Linked DNA regions of Saccharomyces cerevisiae S288C. The protein of the gene in region 1 purifies or fractionates together with the protein of each later gene. This does not show direct contact. Each region holds a gene or a part of one and is shown on either strand. Other genes may lie near its edges.

Region 1 (5,128 bases):
ATCAGTTGGTACGTCATTTCAAGGATTCGGAGATCCCTATCCACAAGCTCTGCTTCCTTTTGTAATGCTTCGGTATGCCCCATATACGGAGTGTACTTTTCCAACATATAGTTAATAGGAGAAACACACTTATTTTTAAATGAGTCGTCATGAAGTCGCAATAACTTCTTCAACTGTACATTTAAAATATATGATTGATTATTTTCAATTTCTTGCAAAGTCTTCGAGGCTTCTGTTCTATGCGGAGAGTTGATTATTTTGTCGAGTAATCGGTCAAGTTCTTCAGACCTGTTTGGCATTTTTACGATTATCCAGTTCACACACATTGAGAATGTAAGGAACATTTATTTATTGTCGATCATTTATTAAATGTGGGAGGGACCCTTTAAGAACACTGCAACAAACCCAATAAATAATTCTTGGTTACCCTCTCAAAAAACATCATAGGAAAAAGAAAAATATACAATCTGCCTTTGTTACTAATATACTTGTTCTATATAATGCTCACGCGGTGGTCACAAAAGCTGCCACTCCCATGCAAAACTTCACAAGATCATCTAATCTGTCTTCCTTCTTATGTACATCCTCCCAATTTTGAAGAGCAGAGGCAATATCTTGATTCTTGTTGTTAGCATGAATAACATCACCGTGTGCCTTAAACAGTAAGCTCATAAACGTTTCATAAAGTTCGAAATTTTTATTGCTCTTCAACCCCTGTGTTAACGCGTCGATAAACCACACAATTTCATCAAATGGCTCAAAGGAATTCAATGATCTTATCTCCAAATCCACTGCAGCAGGTGAGAAATTTATTAGAGTGGCCAGCAATGATGAATAGTCCTTGGATTGTGAGCCCTCTCGTAATTGCTTTGTGAAATGTGATTCAAACCCTAATCTTCCTGTAACTTTGAATTTATTCATTTGCTCTTCTGCATCTAACTTCTTTTGTGCTTCTTGATCTCTGCGATGGATTTCTTCTGGTGTTTCATGTGCTATGCCTTCTCTGACAGAGGCTTCATCCCCAACCTTTTCCCCAGATAGTTGCAAGAAAAATGGAAGCTTTTCTGATTTCTTTGGAGCTTCCTTTGGCTTAGAACGTTTTCTGATAACATCTAAATGAAGCAATGTGTTCATTTTACTTCTAGGTCCTATTGATAAAGTCAACAGCTCCTTATCAATCTGTTCCAATGATGTATAAGTGTTGAAATCAATATCATTTAGGTCTTCTCCTCCATTGCTTTCTAAAGCCCCTGATAACATCGAGTCGTTCCCTCGAACAGATGTGCTAGGTAACGCCATTCTTGCAAATTCAGACTCATCGATGGTTCTTGTCGATACTGTCTTAAATTGTGCTCTGTTCGTCCAGATGCATATACCATTACCAGTAACATGGGTAGTGGCAAGCAAGTCACCATTCGGAGAAAACTTTACATTCGTAGCGACATTATCTACTATGATACCATCGATACATCCTCCGGTTGGAAGATCCCACGTTCTAATGGTGGAATCTAGAGAAGCGGAAACAATCCAACGGCCCTCAGGTGAGAAATCAAATGCAGTTATTCTATTACTATGACCCCATAATTGACGAACAACTCTTTGAGTAACTGCGTCAATAACAACAATTGATAAGTCGTCTAAAGCCAATGCAAATAGATCGGAAGAACGATGATAAACCATTGCGGTAATAGGTGCATCCAATTTCAATTTTCCCAACAAGGTTGACTTGTTAAAGTCATAAAAACCAACAATACCGTCTAGTCCACAAGAAACCATTTTACGATTCATACCATCTAAGGATATACCGGTGACTGCTCTTTTGTGCAATTTGTATTTTTTACGGAGTATACCACTTTGCATATTATAGATGGTGATAGAGCCGTTAGAAGAACCGATGAATCCAAAATTACCACATTGCGACATGGCCACAGATTTAACAAATCCATCATCAGTAGTATCAAAAGTCCACCTGCCAACTCTTTTATTTCGCATATCCCAGGTTCTTGCAAACTTTTCATCTTTATGTGCAGTGATAATGTTTTCCCATTCACCTATTCTGGCATTTTCAATTGCAAGAGCCACTATTTCAGGAAATTTAGACTTAATTGTACTACCACCTACCCTGCCGCCATCTTGTTTCTTGTGTAACCTTTGTGACATTTCTTGCGACTGTGCATCTTTACGCAGAGAAAAGCTCCATAATGATCTATCTTTGGATGCTGATAGCATGAAGTGTGATTGCGAATCAGCAAACGCAATGTATGAAGGTGGTTGAGAATGACCCCCTCTGGAACGTAGATATCTTGGCGGTTGAACAACTACATCACCGCTTCCTTGAGATAATGACGGATCGAAAACGTACTCCTTCAGGGAATTGTCACCACCTGATGTAACAATAATGGGTTGACCATTTAAAAAAGTAGCCTGAGTGACACCACCGTACGATTCTCTATGAATGTTCTTCAAAACGTGTATTCTTGAACGGCGATCTAAATCATAAAATATTAGATCACCACTGCTCGTTCCCACACTCAAATGAGAAGAACCGTCGGTTCTGAAACTCAATGAGGAGATTCTTGATTGCGGAATCTTAATTGTGCGGATCCTTTTACCTTTTCTCATATTAAACATAATAACCTCACCGGTCACGGTACCTAGAGCAATAATATCCAGGACTGGAGCGGGTTCAGCAGTTGTGATTTGGTCTGGAAATTCGTTTGATGTGAATACAAGCTTCCCGGTTCTGACGTTAAAAAGTAAAACGTTAGATTTGGTAACGACAGTTAATTTATTCAAATAAGTTGCCAAATGTTGTAAAGACACAATTTCGCCACCTTGAATTTCAGTAACGGTAAGTTTAGTGTAGAATTCTGATGGATATTTATCTTGCGGATCGGACTTCTTGTATATAAAGATGGAATTGTCGTCGGTGGAAGCGCAAAGATAATCTCCGAATATGCACAAATGTTCGACATTTGCATCAGTTTCTAGCTCAAGCAAATGTTCCTCAATACCCCTCTTGTAAATACCAACCTTGTTTTCATATGCTGCGTAGACGTAGTGAAAGTGTGCTGATAATGCTACAATTGAGGATGGTGTTTCTTTCTCGGAAACAAAAAGTAAATGTAAGGTATTCGCATCATATATCTGAAATGTTTTACCAACACACGTTACAATGTAAAAGGTAGATCCCAATGTACCAGTAGCAAAAGGAACACCATTGCTAACATTACCAATAATCCGGAAAGGGGAAAATATCTTAGAATTTTTCCCTCTACTTCTTACGTCTTCTTCGACTTTTCTTTTTTTCAAGTCGATAGACATAATGTACTATTCCTAACTCGCTATAGCCTTTTCAGTGTCTTATTCCTTGCTGCTGTTTCGCTGTATATTTATTGTGCTTAGGACTTATTAAATTTCATTAGCAATCTCATCGCGAAATTTTTCTCAAAATTTTTCAGTTAAAAAAAAAAAAGCACGTGCTCAAAAATGTTTTTAGAAAATCATTTATTTAAGATAGGAAAAATGCAATTAATCATTGAATCAATATGTTCACCACTTAAATTACCCACTGAGCATTTCATACAAATTCAAAAGCATCTCGTAGCATATTAATATATTGCAGAAGGTCATGAGTGGGATAAAGAAGGAACCGATTGAATCTGATGAGGTTCCTCAACAAGAGACAAAAAATAACTTACCTAGTGCACCTTCTGAGATGTCACCCCTTTTCCTAAACAAAAACACACAGAAGGCTATGCAATCTATTGCACCAATATTGGAGGGTTTCAGTCCTAAGACGTCAGCTAGCGAAAATATGTCTTTGAAATTGCCACCTCCCGGTATTCAAGATGATCACAGTGAAGAGAATCTCACCGTGCATGATACTCTGCAAAGAACCATAAGCACTGCACTAGGAAACGGAAACAACACCAATACAGTTACAACTTCCGGTTTAAAAAAGGCAGACAGTGAATCAAAGTCAGAAGCTGATCCTGAGGGGCTCAGCAATTCTAACATAGTCAATGATGCAGATAACATAAATTCCATCTCCAAGACCGGATCGCCCCATTTACCTCAAGGAACAATGGACGCTGAGCAGACTAACATGGGAACTAACTCTGTACCTACTTCATCAGCTTCTTCACGCAAATCCTCGACTAGTCATCCCAAACCTAGGCTACCCAAGGTAGGGAAGATTGGGGTATGTGCAATGGATGCAAAAGTCCTTTCAAAGCCAATGAGACACATTTTGAATCGTTTAATTGAACATGGTGAATTTGAAACTGTCATTTTTGGAGATAAGGTGATTCTAGATGAAAGAATAGAGAATTGGCCAACTTGCGACTTTTTGATATCTTTCTTTTCTTCAGGATTTCCCCTAGATAAAGCAATTAAATACGTCAAGTTACGCAAGCCTTTCATTATCAATGATTTAATAATGCAAAAGATTTTGTGGGACAGGAGATTATGTCTACAAGTATTAGAAGCCTACAACGTTCCAACACCTCCTAGACTGGAAATCAGTAGAGATGGTGGTCCCCGTGCCAACGAAGAATTAAGGGCAAAATTACGTGAGCATGGCGTAGAAGTTAAACCCGTTGAAGAACCGGAATGGAAAATGGTTGATGATGATACTTTAGAAGTTGATGGGAAAACCATGACTAAGCCCTTTGTTGAAAAGCCCGTTGATGGTGAAGACCACAACATTTATATATACTATCATTCTAAGAACGGAGGAGGCGGTCGTCGTCTATTCCGTAAAGTTGGTAACAAGTCTTCTGAGTTTGATCCTACTTTGGTTCATCCTCGTACGGAGGGGTCTTACATTTATGAGCAGTTTATGGATACCGATAATTTCGAAGATGTGAAGGCTTATACGATTGGTGAGAACTTTTGTCACGCTGAAACTAGGAAATCACCTGTGGTTGATGGTATAGTTAGAAGAAATACTCATGGTAAAGAAGTTAGATATATTACTGAGTTATCAGACGAAGAGAAAACCATTGCTGGGAAAGTTTCCAAAGCTTTTTCACAAATGATCTGTGGTTTCGATTTGCTTCGCGTTTCTGGTAAAAGTTACGTCATTGATGTTAACGGATTTTCTTTTGTAAAGGATAACAAAGCT
Region 2 (4,127 bases), on another chromosome or scaffold:
TTTGATGGCGCACTAGGAGAAAAGCTGATATCAGGGCCGACTGCTGCAAAAAAAATAAAAAATCTCTTAGCCCAGTATGGAGAAGCGTTAGAAACAAAAACAAGCAAACAAGTTATGCAGACTAAGATAGAACATTATATGGAAAGCATATAACTTACTAATTAACATTTTATTACGTATATACATCTACATTTATCCAGGAAAGAACGTCATAAATAATACTAAAATTAGCTATCTTCCAATACCTCTTGTTTCAACGATACTTTAAATGACAGCCAATTACCAACAAAAAATTATTCAGCACATTCTTCTGGTATTTATGAGTGTATATGTTCCGCATCTCGTCATGAATATTTCATGATGCACTTCATTTTCTTTAAGTGGTCCTTTAAGGGGTTAATGACATTACAAGGTCGATATTCCATAAAAAATGCTGGGTGAACAGAGTTATGAAGAAATAATTTTTTACCTAAATACAAACTAAGTCTTCTTCGGCGTGTTCAAAGTTTTATATTTGTGCTATCTGGCCCTGATCTGCTCTTCTTCGTTTTACCGGAAACATCTTTCTTTTCACCCTTTTGATTGATAACAGTAATATTCTTGGCTTTTGACAAAGTGTCAACAACATCATTCCTTTTAGATCTTTTGTTTACATTTGGCAAATTAGCTTTCGATCTTTTTCTTTTCAAAGCCCTGCGCAATCTGTTTTTATCTTCTCTGGTTAATTCTTCCTTAGACATTGCAACACCATTCTTCAAGCGAATTTCTCCGTCCTTTTCTGCTTTACCGACATTGTATATCTCTTGAGGAGCCAAAGAAGAGGCATTCGACATATAGAGAGGTTGAGCATCCTCCATCGATATAGTGGGTGTTTCAACTCTAATTTCCAAAGAAGTACTTGCTGGCTTAGGAACGAAGTGCACTGATGAAAGCACATCCAATTTATATACCAAGTTAGCATAAAGTTCTGATATTTCGGAATGTGCCTTTTGAAGCTCTTCACTTAATGCAGATTCATCTTCAGCGCGTGTGTAGTCATCCTCATATATTTCTGCTAACGACTTCGAGGATTTAACATCACTCAATTCAAATTGAGGCCGTTGAGACTTACGTGTGATGTCTAACAGGGTTCTTCTTTGAAGGTCGTCAAAGTTACTGTCCTGTATCCTTCGTCTAATCATATCTTCTAATGATTCTGTGACCTCACTTGTTATAACAGGAACAGGCTTTGCAGTTCTGTCGAATTCAAGTTCCTCAGTGAGCAATGCATCTTCGGGACGATCCTTTGCCTTTACTTCACCCTTCAAAGACCATTTCTTCTCGGCAACCGCTTCGTTTTCCAATTGTTCTATCTGTTTTCTAATCTCTATTTGTTGCTTTTCGAAACTAGATAAGTTCTTGTCACTGGCTTCTCCCACTCCCTCAGCATTCGGTTCATCTTCCTCATCCGCAAATAAGTCTAATTTCACTTTATCCATGGCAGAATCATGCTCTTCTTCATCCAATTCTTCATCTTCTTTTGGATCTTTTACGTCAGAGTGCTTCTTCACAGGTTCTTTTGTGGGTTTGTCAAAAAAGTCTTCATAATAAATAGCCTCCTCCTCCTCGTCATCTGAAGGCATATCTTGAAAATAATCTATATCTTCATCCTCACTCCCCTCAGAAGCTTCGTTAGAATCTTCTGCAGCTAAAGTATCCCTATTGAACTTTTCGAGATCGAAAAACTTATCATTGATACCATAAGGATCGGGTGAAGAATGCCTTTCATCTTGCCCAGAAGAAATTCTTTTTTCCTCCGCAAATTCTTCTCTAGCTGCCTCTGCACTGGTTTTTTCGTCATCCATACTAGGTTCTTCATCGTTCTCGGAAAGACTATCATTACTCTGCTCCTCAATCTCAGAAACATCAGCAGAGAGCATCTGCTTTTCTTTAAAAACACTTTCTGCCTCCTCTAGTTCACTTTCTTCCCCGGATGATGAGTTCAGGGTGCTACCATCAGAGAGATTGTGAGAAGGCGTGACAACATCTTTGAGTTCTTGAATTCCTTGAATTAGATCACCATCAATACTATCAAGAACTAGTTTGACCTGCCACCAAACTTGATTGGCGTCTAAACCATCAACAGTGATTTCGTCCAGTTCTGCTTTCTTTGTAATACTCCCATTCTTACAGGTATTGATAACTGAATCTATATATGCTTTAACATCTTTAGAAGTGGCGGAGGGGTCCTTCAAAATAATTCTGCCAGCATTAGATTTCAATACTCCAAAGAGTTCTGACATTATACGACTTTCCTTGGGTCTTTCGTGCACACATCATTTATTCATAACAAAACACTGTTTCTTCAAGAGCTCATCGCAAAATTGAAAATTTTCTGCTTCCCTCGCATGCCGGCGGCCAGTACAGAAAAGGCGGTGAATATTTTATGGAAATAATTCTACACGAAAATATGTATATTACGCAATGGTTTTTCATTATCAGAAGTACAGAGCTAATGTAAATGAATTTTAAGTAGAGTAAGTATGCCCCTCGTCGATTATGAAATAATTGCAGCACCAACACCTAATGTGGACAACACGACACTAATACATATGGTTACGTGACAAGCCACTCTCTCCCATGGTTTGATTGTTGTCTTGCACAATCTTAAATAGAACCAACACGGCAAAATTAGGCAAATTGTAAAACACAAACCGGCCCCCAGAAATGCGATAATCTTATCAAATTCAGGGAAATTAATAGCTATCAAAACGAAGACAACATTAATAAAGATCCTATTGAATACTTGAAGGCCTTTCGCAGCTCTTCTTTTTATGGCGCTGGCCGCTTCATCTATGTGTTGCACATTCATCAGAACGTCCAATACAGAAACGATAGGTCTTGCGTTCAATGGGGTCTTTGCGATAGGAATGATAGTCATAAGCGCTGAAATCAGACCATAAACGAATTTTGGATATCCCTCCGTCAGCAAAACGTTCTTAGTAATTTCATCTTTAACAAGATTTCCAAACATCAAAAAGCCAATAACTGCAGTACCTATGTCCGTAACCGATGTTATCTTATAGGTAGTTTTCAAACAGTCTTTAAATTTATCTGGATGCCTCATATCTGTCTTTAAGTTGGGAAAAACCGCATGTCCTCCCCAGCAGGCACTCAATAAACCTATAGATAAACAGAGATGCTTTAGATCTATCGGCCACATGCTCGTTTCCATCGGATTAACTAATGAACCTGGAGAAGACGACTTGTATAGTCCGCAGCAGCAAATGACTAGCACAGTTCCGGTTGTTGAAAGGATTCCCAGAAGCGAGATATTAGATAGAACACTCAATGGTATAAAAACCGGGGGTGTAACGATAAAAAATGAAACTATTTTGAAAAAAGTGGTGGAGTATTGAGGAAATAGAGCATTTAAAGAATCTCCGAAGAGAATCACCAAGGACACCCCACTACCCAGTAGGTCAAGTGTGAAAAGAGCAGAAATTAGTGCGCGCCCTTTTGTACCAAATGCTGCATATCCCAAGTCCGCGTAAGATATCAAAGTTGGATCTGTATCTAGGCACCTAGACAAAAGTTCAGCAGTACAAAATGTCGCTAAGGCGAAGATTGCAAGCATAGTAAGTCCTATAACCCAGCCGGCGTATTTCAAACCAAGAGGTAACGCCAGGAGCCCAATACCAATCAGTACATTGATTGAGTTGAATATGGTCTGTGGAGCGGTCGACTGACCAGCAAGAAGAGTTACTACCTTACCATCTACACCCTCCACTCTCTTCACTACAATTGAATCCATGTCATTATTTGTAAACCTTCTCCCCGCTCCACCACTCATCATTTCTGTTAAGGAGGCAGTAGGGCGTAATATTGACCCAGAATCCCCAATTGTTGAATTTTGGATGGACCCATAATCATCATCGTGAATAGCCATGCTGGCTGTACTAACTCTATCGTTGTTAGCCAAATTAGTAATGCGCGGGCGACCAGCATTATTTAAAGTTACTGATAATCTTCTACCGTCCAAAGCTGGTGCTAAAGTATCCGGATCGTAGGTTTCATCGTTACTCTCTTTGAAAAAGGATCTTTCATTATCCGCATTTAGCTCGATATTACGAAACGAATTGGCTCTC
Region 3 (4,706 bases), 360 kb from region 1:
TTGCAAACATGATCTCTTAGAGACTGTTGTGTACGTTGATGACGAATCCACAGATGAAGATGATAACCTACCGCCCCCAAGTTCAAGGTCAAAAAACATTGGCTCAAAAGCAAAGGAAATCGTAAGTTCAAATGTTGTTGGATTACGTCCACCAAAATTGGGTACTTGGGAGACGGACAACAAACCTTTTAGTATTATTGATGGTCTGTCTACTAAATCATTATACGCCTTAATCCAAGAACATCAACAGCTTCGCGAGCAACATCAAAGGGCTCAAACCCCAGATGTTAAAAGAGAGGGAAGCTCTAATGGCAATAACGGTGACGAATTGACACTCAATGAGCTGCTAAACATGAGTGAATTGGAGGATGATTCACCATCCCACACAGACGATATGGAGAACAATTACAATGATGCAATTAATAGCAAAAGCACAAATGGCCATGCTGCAGATTGGTATGAAGTTCCTAAGGTTCCATTATCTGCATTTAGAAATAAGGGTATTAATGCCTATGAAGAAGATGAGTACATGATACCAGCAAATTCTAACAGAAAAGTTCCCATTGGCTATATTGGTAATGAAAGAACAAGAAAGAAGATTGATAAGATGAAAGAGCTACAACGGAAAAAAACTGAAAAAAAAAGGCAGTTAAAGAAAAAAAAGAAGCTTCTTAAAATAAGAAAGCAAAGACAAAAGGCAATAAAGGAGCAAGAAACTATGAATTTACAATTGGGAATCAATGGCCATGAGATCATCGGTAACAATAACAGCCATAGCGACATAAATACCGGTACCGATTTTACAACCAATGAAAATACCCCTATGAATGAACTTCCCTCTCACGCACCTGAAGATGCGTCATTAATACCTCATAATTCTGATCTTGCCGTGGACAGCAATACAAGGAAAAATTCAACAAAAAGTGTTGGTTTAGATGAAATTCATGAGATTTTGGGCAAAGATGAAAATGACTTACTGTCTGTAGGTGATATTAACGGTTATGATGCACAAGAAGGTCATGTGATCGAAGATACTGACGCCGATATCCTAGCATCGTTAACCGCTCCTGTGCAATTCGACAATACATTAAGCCATGAAAATAGTAATTCCATGTGGAGAAGAAGGCAAAGTATGGTGGAAGCAGCGGCTGAAAATCTTCGTTTCACTAAAAATGGTTTATTTAGTGAGAGTGCATTGGCAGATATCGAAGGAATTATGGGCAATGATGTTAACCATTCATTCGAATTCAATGACGTCTTACAATGAGCTATTTTGCATTTTTTTATGGTTACTACAATCAAATCACCTTTCGTTTACAATATCATCATCAGTATGTGACTTTGCCTTATTCTACTCTGAATTTTGCTTTATCGTTGGTTGAAAAGAATTACATGTTATTTTTTTACTTATATATGCATATTTTTATAGAAAAACACAATCAATATTTTTTTTACTGGTATAATCCGTCCAATCAGACGTATAAAAGTAAATAAGCCTCAAGCAACCCCATTTGATGGATTGCCTTACTCTTCGACTCTAGTTGAGATGATAACCTCATCCACTCTTCTGGCGATTAAGATGGAGCTTCTTAATATATCCGTGTAAAGCGACTGAAAATTTTCTGAAAAATTCAGCTCATCGCTCTCAGATATAATAGCGGTATGGCATTAAAGGTGTGAACCAACAACATAGTACTCTCAACGGTAGTAAGCCATACTACGTACAATATGGATCTGAAAACCTCATATAAAGGTATATCGTTAAACCCTATTTATGCAGGAAGCAGTGCTGTTGCCACTGTTTCAGAAAATGGTAAAATACTAGCTACTCCGGTGCTTGACGAAATCAACATAATCGATTTAACCCCAGGCTCCAGAAAAATTTTGCACAAGATTTCTAATGAAGACGAGCAAGAAATTACTGCACTGAAATTAACTCCTGATGGTCAATATCTCACGTATGTTTCACAAGCTCAGCTTTTAAAAATCTTTCACCTTAAGACCGGGAAAGTTGTCAGATCAATGAAAATCTCTTCTCCATCGTACATTCTCGACGCAGATTCCACTTCAACGCTTCTCGCAGTCGGAGGGACAGATGGTAGTATAATTGTTGTGGATATTGAAAATGGTTACATTACTCATTCGTTCAAAGGTCATGGTGGTACAATTTCCAGTTTGAAGTTTTATGGACAATTGAATAGTAAAATATGGTTATTAGCATCCGGTGACACCAATGGTATGGTAAAGGTTTGGGATCTTGTTAAAAGGAAGTGCTTGCACACATTACAAGAGCACACATCTGCTGTGAGAGGGTTGGATATCATTGAGGTACCAGATAATGATGAGCCAAGCCTAAATTTACTTTCCGGTGGTAGAGACGATATCATCAATCTCTGGGATTTCAATATGAAAAAGAAATGTAAATTGTTGAAAACACTTCCAGTAAATCAACAGGTAGAGTCATGCGGATTCCTAAAGGATGGTGACGGTAAACGCATAATTTATACAGCCGGCGGTGATGCTATCTTTCAGTTAATTGACTCTGAATCTGGTAGCGTGCTTAAAAGAACCAATAAACCTATAGAAGAGTTATTCATTATTGGTGTACTTCCAATATTGAGCAATTCACAGATGTTTTTAGTATTGTCTGACCAGACATTACAACTAATTAACGTTGAAGAAGACTTAAAGAATGATGAAGACACAATACAGGTCACTTCGAGCATTGCTGGTAATCATGGTATTATTGCTGACATGAGGTATGTTGGCCCAGAGCTGAATAAATTAGCTTTAGCTACCAATTCTCCATCGCTTAGGATAATACCCGTCCCCGATTTATCAGGCCCAGAAGCTTCGCTGCCTTTGGATGTCGAAATTTATGAAGGTCATGAAGATTTGCTAAATTCATTGGATGCTACTGAGGATGGCCTGTGGATCGCAACCGCCTCTAAAGATAATACGGCTATTGTTTGGAGATACAATGAGAACAGCTGCAAGTTTGATATTTATGCCAAGTATATTGGTCATTCAGCTGCCGTAACTGCTGTTGGATTGCCAAATATAGTTTCAAAGGGATATCCTGAATTTTTATTGACAGCATCGAATGATTTAACAATTAAGAAATGGATAATTCCAAAGCCAACTGCTAGTATGGATGTTCAAATCATCAAGGTATCCGAATATACTCGTCATGCCCATGAAAAGGATATCAATGCTTTGTCAGTTTCTCCTAACGATTCTATTTTTGCAACAGCATCATACGACAAGACCTGTAAGATCTGGAACCTAGAAAATGGTGAATTGGAAGCCACGTTGGCCAACCACAAGCGTGGACTATGGGATGTATCATTTTGCCAATATGATAAATTATTGGCAACTTCTTCAGGTGATAAAACAGTCAAGATATGGTCATTGGATACATTCAGCGTTATGAAAACATTGGAAGGTCATACCAATGCGGTTCAAAGATGTTCGTTTATTAATAAGCAAAAACAACTGATCAGTTGTGGTGCTGATGGCTTGATCAAAATATGGGATTGTTCTAGCGGTGAATGTCTGAAGACTTTGGATGGTCATAATAATAGATTATGGGCTTTAAGTACTATGAATGATGGTGATATGATCGTAAGTGCTGATGCAGATGGTGTTTTTCAGTTTTGGAAAGATTGTACGGAACAAGAAATAGAAGAAGAACAAGAAAAAGCTAAATTACAAGTCGAACAAGAACAATCGCTTCAAAATTATATGAGCAAAGGTGATTGGACAAATGCATTTTTGTTAGCAATGACTTTAGATCACCCAATGAGGTTGTTTAATGTTTTGAAAAGAGCTTTGGGCGAATCAAGGTCTAGACAAGATACCGAAGAGGGCAAAATTGAAGTCATTTTCAATGAAGAATTGGACCAAGCCATCTCTATCCTAAATGATGAACAGTTAATTTTGTTAATGAAACGATGCAGAGATTGGAATACAAATGCAAAAACACATACCATAGCGCAAAGAACAATAAGATGTATTTTGATGCATCATAACATAGCAAAATTGAGTGAGATACCCGGAATGGTAAAGATAGTTGATGCAATAATTCCATACACGCAAAGGCATTTCACAAGGGTTGATAACTTAGTTGAACAAAGTTACATATTAGACTACGCGCTAGTGGAAATGGATAAGCTATTCTAGGCAGTAAGTCCAAGATATTGAGCCTTTAAAAGCAAGGCAATAGCAACATATTATTTTGTAAACTAGATATATAAAGACAAAATGCATTGATGAAGCGGAAAGCTTAAAATAATTCGATATATAATTAGGTGCCTTTACGGGCATTGAAAACTTCTTTGCGCGAAGAGCTCATCACTAAAAATTTGCAAAAAACGAAGAGCGAAAACTTTCATATATTGTAGTAATATATACAAGAATTTAAACTGCCCACTTGAAATAGCACGGAAAGAACTAGCCATAATATATTATACAGGATGTCGGCAGGTGATATATCAGCCATAAATATCAAGTCTGTCAAAAAAAACAGAAGGAGGAAGAAGAGAAGAACAGCTGATGTTTCATCATCAGATTCTTCATCATCGGATCCATCATCAGAAAGTGAAAAGGAGGAAATCCAAAATGGGGCCATCGAAGAACACGTTGGAGAAAATGGTAAAAGTGATCATGTTTTCTCAAAAGGTAATGACGAAGACAAACAAGAGGAC
Region 4 (7,446 bases), on another chromosome or scaffold:
TAGAGTCCTTGAAATAGATGGTCAGTTTTGTATCTTCCAGGTTGTATGATTGTTTCATTTGGTGATGCAACAACAAGAACTTCCGAAGTTCAATTGGTTAGGTGTACTCAAGGTCTAAACCTTTGGAAGCTGCATCAAGTTCATGCCGTTTACAAAAGAGTTGTCCATGATACCTTAGGTGCCGATGAAGGTAATGCTTTACTCGATCAAATTTTGGCTGACACGAATCTATATCCACCTTGGATGTGTGTTCTTTTATATGCATTTTGTTCCGCTATGGTCACTCCGTATGCCTTTGGTGGCGATTGGGTAAACCTGGCAATCTCATTTTTTATGGGGCTTTGTGTGGGGTCATTACAATTTATTCTTTCACAAAAGTCATACATGTATTCAAACGTCTTCGAAATTTCTGCATCTATTGTCGTTAGCTTCTGCGGTAGAGCTTTTGGCTCTATCCCTCGTTCTCACATCTGCTTTGGTGCAGTTACACAAGGCTCATTGGCATTAATCCTGCCAGGTTATATTATTCTGTGTGGTGCACTAGAACTGCAAAGTCGAAGCCTAGTTGCTGGCGCGGTCCGTATGTTCTACGCCATTATTTATTCTTTGTTTTTGGGTTTTGGCATAACATTGGGCTCAGCTTTGTTTGGATGGATGTATCACAATGCCACTAACGAAATTTCATGTCCTCAATTAATTTCTCCGTGGTTCAGGTTCCTCTTCGTTCCAGCGTTTACCATTAGTATCTCGTTATTAAATCAAGCACACATCTCACAACTGCCAGTTATGGTCTTCATTTCTTGCACCGGTTATGTCGTAACATATTGGGCCGGTAAGCATTTTGCGAATTCGACAGAGTTTACTGCCGCCTTAGCTGCATTTGTCATAGGTGTTTTAGGTAATCTATATTCCAGAATTTGGAAAGGTTTAGCGGTATCAGCTATGCTTCCCGCAATCTTCGTTCAAGTGCCATCTGGTATTGCTTCACAAAATTCGTTGTTGTCTGGGTTGCAAAGTGCAAATACAATTGTTAATGCTAATGAAACCATTACGACAAGCACCTCCGATCCATCGTCCTCAATGTCATTTGGTATGACAATGATTCAAGTTTGTGTCGGTATTTCTGTGGGACTATTTGCTTCTTCACTCTTTGTCTACCCCTTTGGTAAAAAGAAAACTGGTCTTTTCAGTTTATAAGCTCTCACAAGGTCCACTTCGTTAGAAACTTGTTAACCAATGGACCAAGTGTTGCCATTGGGTCATTCTTCAGTATCAAAGAAGACTTTGACCCACTAAGAAAAATTTCAAAAGTAAATTATAAATATAGCATTAAGTACAAATAACATATCAGCTTATGAATCCTTTTTTTCAATTTTATGGTTTCATAGCCAATAATCATAACATACATAGATTAATAATATTCAAGTCACATGACTTTTTTTTTTTTCTTTTTTCTTTCTGCGTTAAGCAAAGAAAAAAATTTTCAGTTAGCGATGAGCTAGATATTTTCGAAGGTGTAACAAATACTTTCTTTATTACCTTTCAGAATCAGACTTATCTAACTGGCCACCAAAGTACGAATAACTTTGAAAATGTCTTCGTTGAGTGACCAATTAGCTCAAGTTGCTTCCAACAATGCTACTGTTGCGTTGGATAGAAAGAGAAGACAAAAACTTCATTCTGCTTCTTTGATTTATAACTCAAAGACGGCTGCAACACAAGATTACGATTTCATTTTTGAAAACGCTAGTAAGGCTCTTGAAGAATTGAGCCAAATTGAGCCAAAATTTGCCATTTTCTCAAGAACACTCTTTTCAGAGTCTTCCATTTCTCTTGATAGAAATGTCCAAACAAAAGAAGAAATTAAAGATTTGGATAATGCTATCAATGCTTACTTGCTATTGGCTTCTTCTAAATGGTATTTAGCACCTACACTACATGCAACAGAATGGTTGGTTCGTCGTTTTCAAATACATGTTAAAAACACAGAGATGCTGCTTTTGTCCACTCTCAACTACTACCAAACACCTGTCTTTAAGAGAATTCTCAGCATTATTAAGTTGCCCCCTTTGTTTAATTGTTTGTCGAATTTTGTTAGAAGTGAAAAGCCCCCAACGGCGCTAACCATGATAAAGCTCTTTAATGACATGGATTTTCTGAAACTTTATACCAGTTATTTGGATCAATGTATTAAGCATAATGCAACGTATACTAACCAGCTTTTATTTACAACATGCTGCTTTATTAACGTTGTTGCTTTCAATTCAAACAACGATGAAAAACTGAATCAGCTTGTTCCAATCTTACTTGAAATATCTGCTAAACTTTTAGCCTCTAAATCAAAGGATTGTCAAATAGCTGCACATACCATATTAGTTGTATTTGCTACAGCTTTGCCTTTAAAGAAAACAATTATCTTAGCTGCCATGGAAACCATTCTTTCAAACTTAGATGCTAAAGAGGCAAAACATTCAGCACTCCTCACGATTTGTAAGCTGTTCCAAACATTAAAAGGACAAGGTAACGTAGATCAGCTACCTTCCAAAATTTTCAAGTTATTTGATAGCAAGTTCGACACTGTGTCTATACTAACCTTCTTAGATAAGGAAGACAAACCAGTTTGTGATAAATTCATTACTTCCTATACAAGATCCATAGCAAGGTATGATCGGTCCAAATTGAACATTATTCTTAGCCTACTAAAAAAAATAAGACTAGAAAGATACGAAGTTAGGTTGATAATCACTGATTTGATTTACCTTTCCGAAATTTTAGAGGACAAGTCACAATTAGTAGAACTATTCGAATATTTTATCTCCATAAATGAAGATTTGGTGTTAAAATGTTTGAAATCATTGGGACTGACAGGCGAACTCTTCGAAATCAGGCTTACTACATCTTTGTTCACTAATGCCGATGTTAACACCGACATTGTAAAGCAGTTAAGCGACCCCGTGGAAACTACTAAAAAGGATACCGCTTCATTTCAAACATTCTTGGATAAGCATTCAGAATTGATAAACACAACGAATGTGTCCATGCTAACAGAAACTGGAGAAAGATACAAAAAGGTTTTATCTTTATTCACTGAAGCTATTGGTAAAGGCTATAAAGCAAGTTCCTTCTTGACTTCATTTTTCACTACTTTAGAATCAAGAATAACGTTTTTGTTAAGAGTAACTATATCTCCAGCCGCTCCAACCGCGCTAAAGCTAATATCTTTAAACAATATTGCAAAATATATTAATAGTATTGAAAAGGAAGTTAATATTTTTACTTTAGTTCCATGCTTGATTTGCGCTTTGCGAGATGCTTCTATAAAAGTTAGGACTGGCGTGAAGAAGATTCTTTCCTTGATTGCTAAAAGACCATCCACTAAGCACTACTTTTTGTCTGATAAACTTTACGGAGAGAACGTTACCATTCCTATGTTAAATCCCAAAGATAGTGAGGCATGGTTATCAGGATTTTTGAATGAGTACGTTACTGAGAATTATGACATATCCAGAATTTTAACGCCAAAGAGAAATGAAAAAGTCTTTTTGATGTTTTGGGCTAATCAAGCCCTACTAATACCTTCTCCGTATGCCAAGACAGTGTTGTTGGATAACCTGAACAAGAGTCCGACTTATGCATCTTCTTATTCCTCCCTATTTGAGGAATTTATTTCCCACTACTTAGAAAACAGATCTAGTTGGGAAAAGAGTTGTATTGCTAATAAAACAAACTTTGAGCATTTTGAGCGCTCTTTAGTTAATTTGGTATCACCAAAAGAAAAGCAGTCATTCATGATCGATTTTGTTCTCAGTGCTCTTAACTCAGATTATGAGCAGTTAGCTAACATAGCTGCCGAGAGGCTTATCAGCATATTCGCTTCATTAAATAATGCTCAAAAACTAAAAATCGTCCAAAATATCGTGGATTCTTCGAGTAACGTAGAATCATCGTACGATACAGTCGGTGTACTACAATCATTGCCGTTAGATTCCGATATTTTTGTATCCATACTAAATCAAAACAGTATCAGTAACGAAATGGATCAGACAGACTTTTCTAAAAGAAGAAGAAGACGTTCATCAACAAGTAAAAACGCATTTTTGAAAGAGGAGGTTTCGCAACTGGCGGAATTGCACCTGAGAAAGTTGACGATTATTTTGGAAGCACTTGATAAAGTCAGAAATGTTGGATCCGAAAAGCTTTTGTTCACTTTACTTTCCTTATTATCAGATCTGGAAACTTTGGATCAAGACGGTGGATTACCGGTTTTATATGCGCAAGAAACTTTGATTTCTTGTACGCTGAACACTATCACATACTTGAAGGAACATGGCTGTACAGAACTAACCAACGTAAGGGCAGATATATTGGTATCCGCTATTAGAAATTCTGCATCTCCGCAAGTCCAAAACAAACTATTACTTGTAATTGGATCTCTTGCTACTTTAAGTTCGGAAGTTATTTTGCATTCTGTAATGCCTATCTTTACTTTTATGGGAGCCCATAGTATTCGTCAAGATGATGAATTCACAACTAAAGTTGTTGAGCGTACGATACTAACTGTTGTCCCTGCCTTGATCAAGAATAGCAAAGGAAATGAAAAAGAGGAAATGGAGTTCCTTTTGTTGAGCTTCACAACCGCTTTGCAACATGTTCCAAGACATAGGAGGGTTAAATTATTTTCTACGTTAATCAAAACACTTGATCCAGTAAAGGCACTGGGCTCGTTCCTTTTCTTGATTGCACAACAGTATTCTTCAGCTTTAGTCAACTTTAAAATTGGCGAGGCAAGAATATTAATTGAGTTTATTAAGGCCCTACTCGTTGATCTACATGTCAATGAGGAATTATCAGGTTTGAATGACTTACTCGATATCATCAAATTGTTGACATCATCAAAGAGCTCCTCGGAAAAGAAGAAATCACTAGAATCCCGTGTCTTGTTTTCAAATGGTGTCTTGAATTTTTCGGAAAGTGAATTTTTGACATTTATGAACAATACCTTTGAGTTTATCAATAAAATAACCGAGGAAACAGATCAAGATTATTACGATGTGAGGAGAAATTTAAGACTAAAGGTATATTCTGTTTTGTTAGATGAAACAAGCGATAAAAAGTTAATTAGAAACATCAGGGAAGAATTTGGAACCCTTTTAGAAGGTGTTCTTTTTTTCATTAATTCTGTAGAATTAACCTTTTCATGTATAACTTCCCAAGAAAATGAGGAAGCTTCCGACTCTGAAACATCATTATCAGATCACACGACTGAAATAAAGGAGATTCTATTCAAGGTGCTTGGCAATGTGTTACAAATTCTACCAGTTGACGAGTTTGTTAATGCGGTATTACCCTTACTCAGTACATCCACTAATGAAGATATTAGATACCACCTAACGTTGGTAATAGGGTCCAAATTCGAGTTAGAAGGCTCTGAAGCTATTCCTATAGTTAACAATGTGATGAAGGTTTTGCTCGACAGAATGCCTTTGGAATCTAAATCTGTTGTTATTTCTCAAGTAATATTGAACACGATGACGGCTTTAGTGAGCAAATATGGTAAGAAGCTTGAGGGGTCCATATTAACTCAAGCCCTCACCCTTGCTACTGAAAAAGTTAGTTCTGATATGACAGAGGTCAAGATATCTTCGTTGGCATTGATAACTAACTGTGTTCAAGTTTTAGGAGTCAAGTCAATTGCGTTCTATCCAAAAATAGTCCCACCTTCTATTAAATTATTTGATGCTTCATTGGCAGATAGTAGTAACCCATTAAAAGAGCAGTTGCAAGTTGCTATACTGTTGCTGTTCGCCGGTCTAATCAAAAGGATACCAAGTTTCTTGATGTCAAATATTTTGGATGTTTTGCATGTTATTTATTTTTCCCGTGAAGTTGACAGCAGCATTAGGCTGTCAGTAATTTCATTGATAATTGAGAATATAGATTTGAAGGAAGTTTTGAAAGTTTTATTCAGAATTTGGTCCACTGAAATAGCAACGTCCAATGATACAGTTGCTGTTAGTCTATTTTTGAGTACATTAGAATCCACTGTTGAAAATATTGATAAAAAATCCGCAACCTCACAATCGCCAATATTTTTTAAGTTACTATTATCTTTATTCGAATTTAGATCCATTTCCAGTTTCGATAATAATACAATTAGTAGGATAGAGGCATCCGTTCACGAAATTTCCAACTCTTACGTCCTGAAGATGAATGACAAAGTATTTAGACCGCTATTTGTTATATTAGTAAGATGGGCGTTTGACGGTGAAGGCGTTACAAATGCAGGTATCACTGAAACAGAAAGACTGTTGGCATTTTTCAAATTTTTCAACAAGCTTCAAGAAAATTTGAGAGGTATAATTACTTCCTATTTCACGTATTTGTTAGAACCTGTTGATATGTTGTTAAAAAGATTCATTAGCAAGGACATGGAAAACGTTAATTTAAGACGTTTGGTAATCAACTCTCTAACCTCTTCGCTAAAGTTTGATAGAGACGAATACTGGAAATCAACTTCCAGATTCGAGTTAATTTCTGTATCCTTGGTCAATCAACTATCTAATATAGAAAACTCTATTGGGAAGTACCTGGTCAAGGCAATTGGCGCTCTGGCTTCTAACAATAGTGGCGTTGATGAGCATAACCAAATTTTGAATAAACTAATCGTTGAACACATGAAAGCTTCCTGTTCCTCCAATGAAAAATTATGGGCTATTAGAGCCATGAAGTTGATATACTCAAAGATAGGTGAAAGTTGGTTAGTTCTATTGCCACAGCTCGTTCCCGTCATCGCTGAGTTATTGGAAGATGATGATGAAGAGATCGAACGTGAAGTCAGGACCGGTTTGGTCAAGGTTGTTGAAAACGTTTTAGGGGAACCTTTTGATAGGTATTTAGATTAGAAAAAAAAGGTGAAGTATTATGTAAATTTTTGTAAAGTAAAACACTATGCTGTTGAACGAAATCTTTCATTGAAAATATTGTTATTCATTCGTGATAGCTGCCCCTTTCTGAGTTTGAACTTAATATTTCAATTACGCTACTTCAAGTTTCAATGAGATATTATTCTGTCATCTTTCTCGTCGTTCCTAGTGATTAACGTTACTAAAATTACTGATCCTAAATAGCGGGCGAACAGAGTGAAAATTTTCTTATCTTCGCTTATCTGCGCTTATCAATCCTAATCAGTGAAAAATAAGATATAGGCTTGATAATAAGGTAGTTTGAAAGAGAACATATTGCAAGCGGTTGAAGCTATAATACTAGATATACGAATATCATTTCGGGTATTTGTACTGTGCTCTACAATTCTACTGGTAATATTATGGCATCGCAGGCTACAACTCTTCGAGGCTATAACATTAGAAAACGAGATAATGTATTTGAACCAAAATCAAGTGAAAACCTCAACAGCTTAAATCAAAGCGAAGAAGAAGGGCATATTGG

What was found.
Region 2: the proteins of UTP21 (region 1) and MPP10 purify together in Saccharomyces cerevisiae (affinity purification with mass spectrometry; 4 studies listed by BioGRID, with this or other methods). This does not show direct contact.
Region 3: the proteins of UTP21 (region 1) and UTP13 purify together in Saccharomyces cerevisiae (affinity purification with mass spectrometry; 6 studies listed by BioGRID). This does not show direct contact.
Region 4: the proteins of UTP21 (region 1) and UTP10 purify together in Saccharomyces cerevisiae (affinity purification with mass spectrometry; 6 studies listed by BioGRID). This does not show direct contact.

Annotation. Positions count from the first base shown.
Region 1 is NC_001144.5:933,910-939,037, forward strand, and holds UTP21 (rRNA-processing protein UTP21), read right to left. Parts: upstream 3,325-5,128; coding exon 505-3,324; downstream 1-504. Other genes in the region: BLS1 (Bls1p), read right to left, coding at 1-344; inositol polyphosphate kinase VIP1, read left to right, coding at 3,632-5,128. UniProt on the Saccharomyces cerevisiae protein: Involved in nucleolar processing of pre-18S ribosomal RNA and ribosome assembly.
Region 2 is NC_001142.9:437,020-441,146, reverse strand, and holds MPP10 (rRNA-processing protein MPP10), read right to left. Parts: upstream 2,283-4,127; coding exon 501-2,282; downstream 1-500. Other genes in the region: MRX12 (Mrx12p), read left to right, coding at 1-153; AVT1 (Avt1p), read right to left, coding at 2,537-4,127. UniProt on the Saccharomyces cerevisiae protein: Involved in nucleolar processing of pre-18S ribosomal RNA. Required for the early cleavages at sites A0, A1 and A2 during 18S ribosomal pre-RNA processing.
Region 3 is NC_001144.5:578,794-583,499, reverse strand, and holds UTP13 (U3 snoRNA-associated protein UTP13), read left to right. Parts: upstream 1-1,728; coding exon 1,729-4,182; downstream 4,183-4,706. Other genes in the region: IFH1 (Ifh1p), read left to right, coding at 1-1,267; RSA3 (Rsa3p), read left to right, coding at 4,476-4,706. UniProt on the Saccharomyces cerevisiae protein: Involved in nucleolar processing of pre-18S ribosomal RNA.
Region 4 is NC_001142.9:211,456-218,901, reverse strand, and holds UTP10 (snoRNA-binding rRNA-processing protein UTP10), read left to right. Parts: upstream 1-1,592; coding exon 1,593-6,902; downstream 6,903-7,446. Other genes in the region: YJL107C (uncharacterized protein), read left to right, coding at 1-49; pheromone-regulated protein PRM10, read left to right, coding at 46-1,197; GZF3 (Gzf3p), read left to right, coding at 7,325-7,446. UniProt on the Saccharomyces cerevisiae protein: Involved in nucleolar processing of pre-18S ribosomal RNA. Required for optimal pre-ribosomal RNA transcription by RNA polymerase I together with a subset of U3 proteins required for transcription (t-UTPs). Involved in ribosome biosynthesis.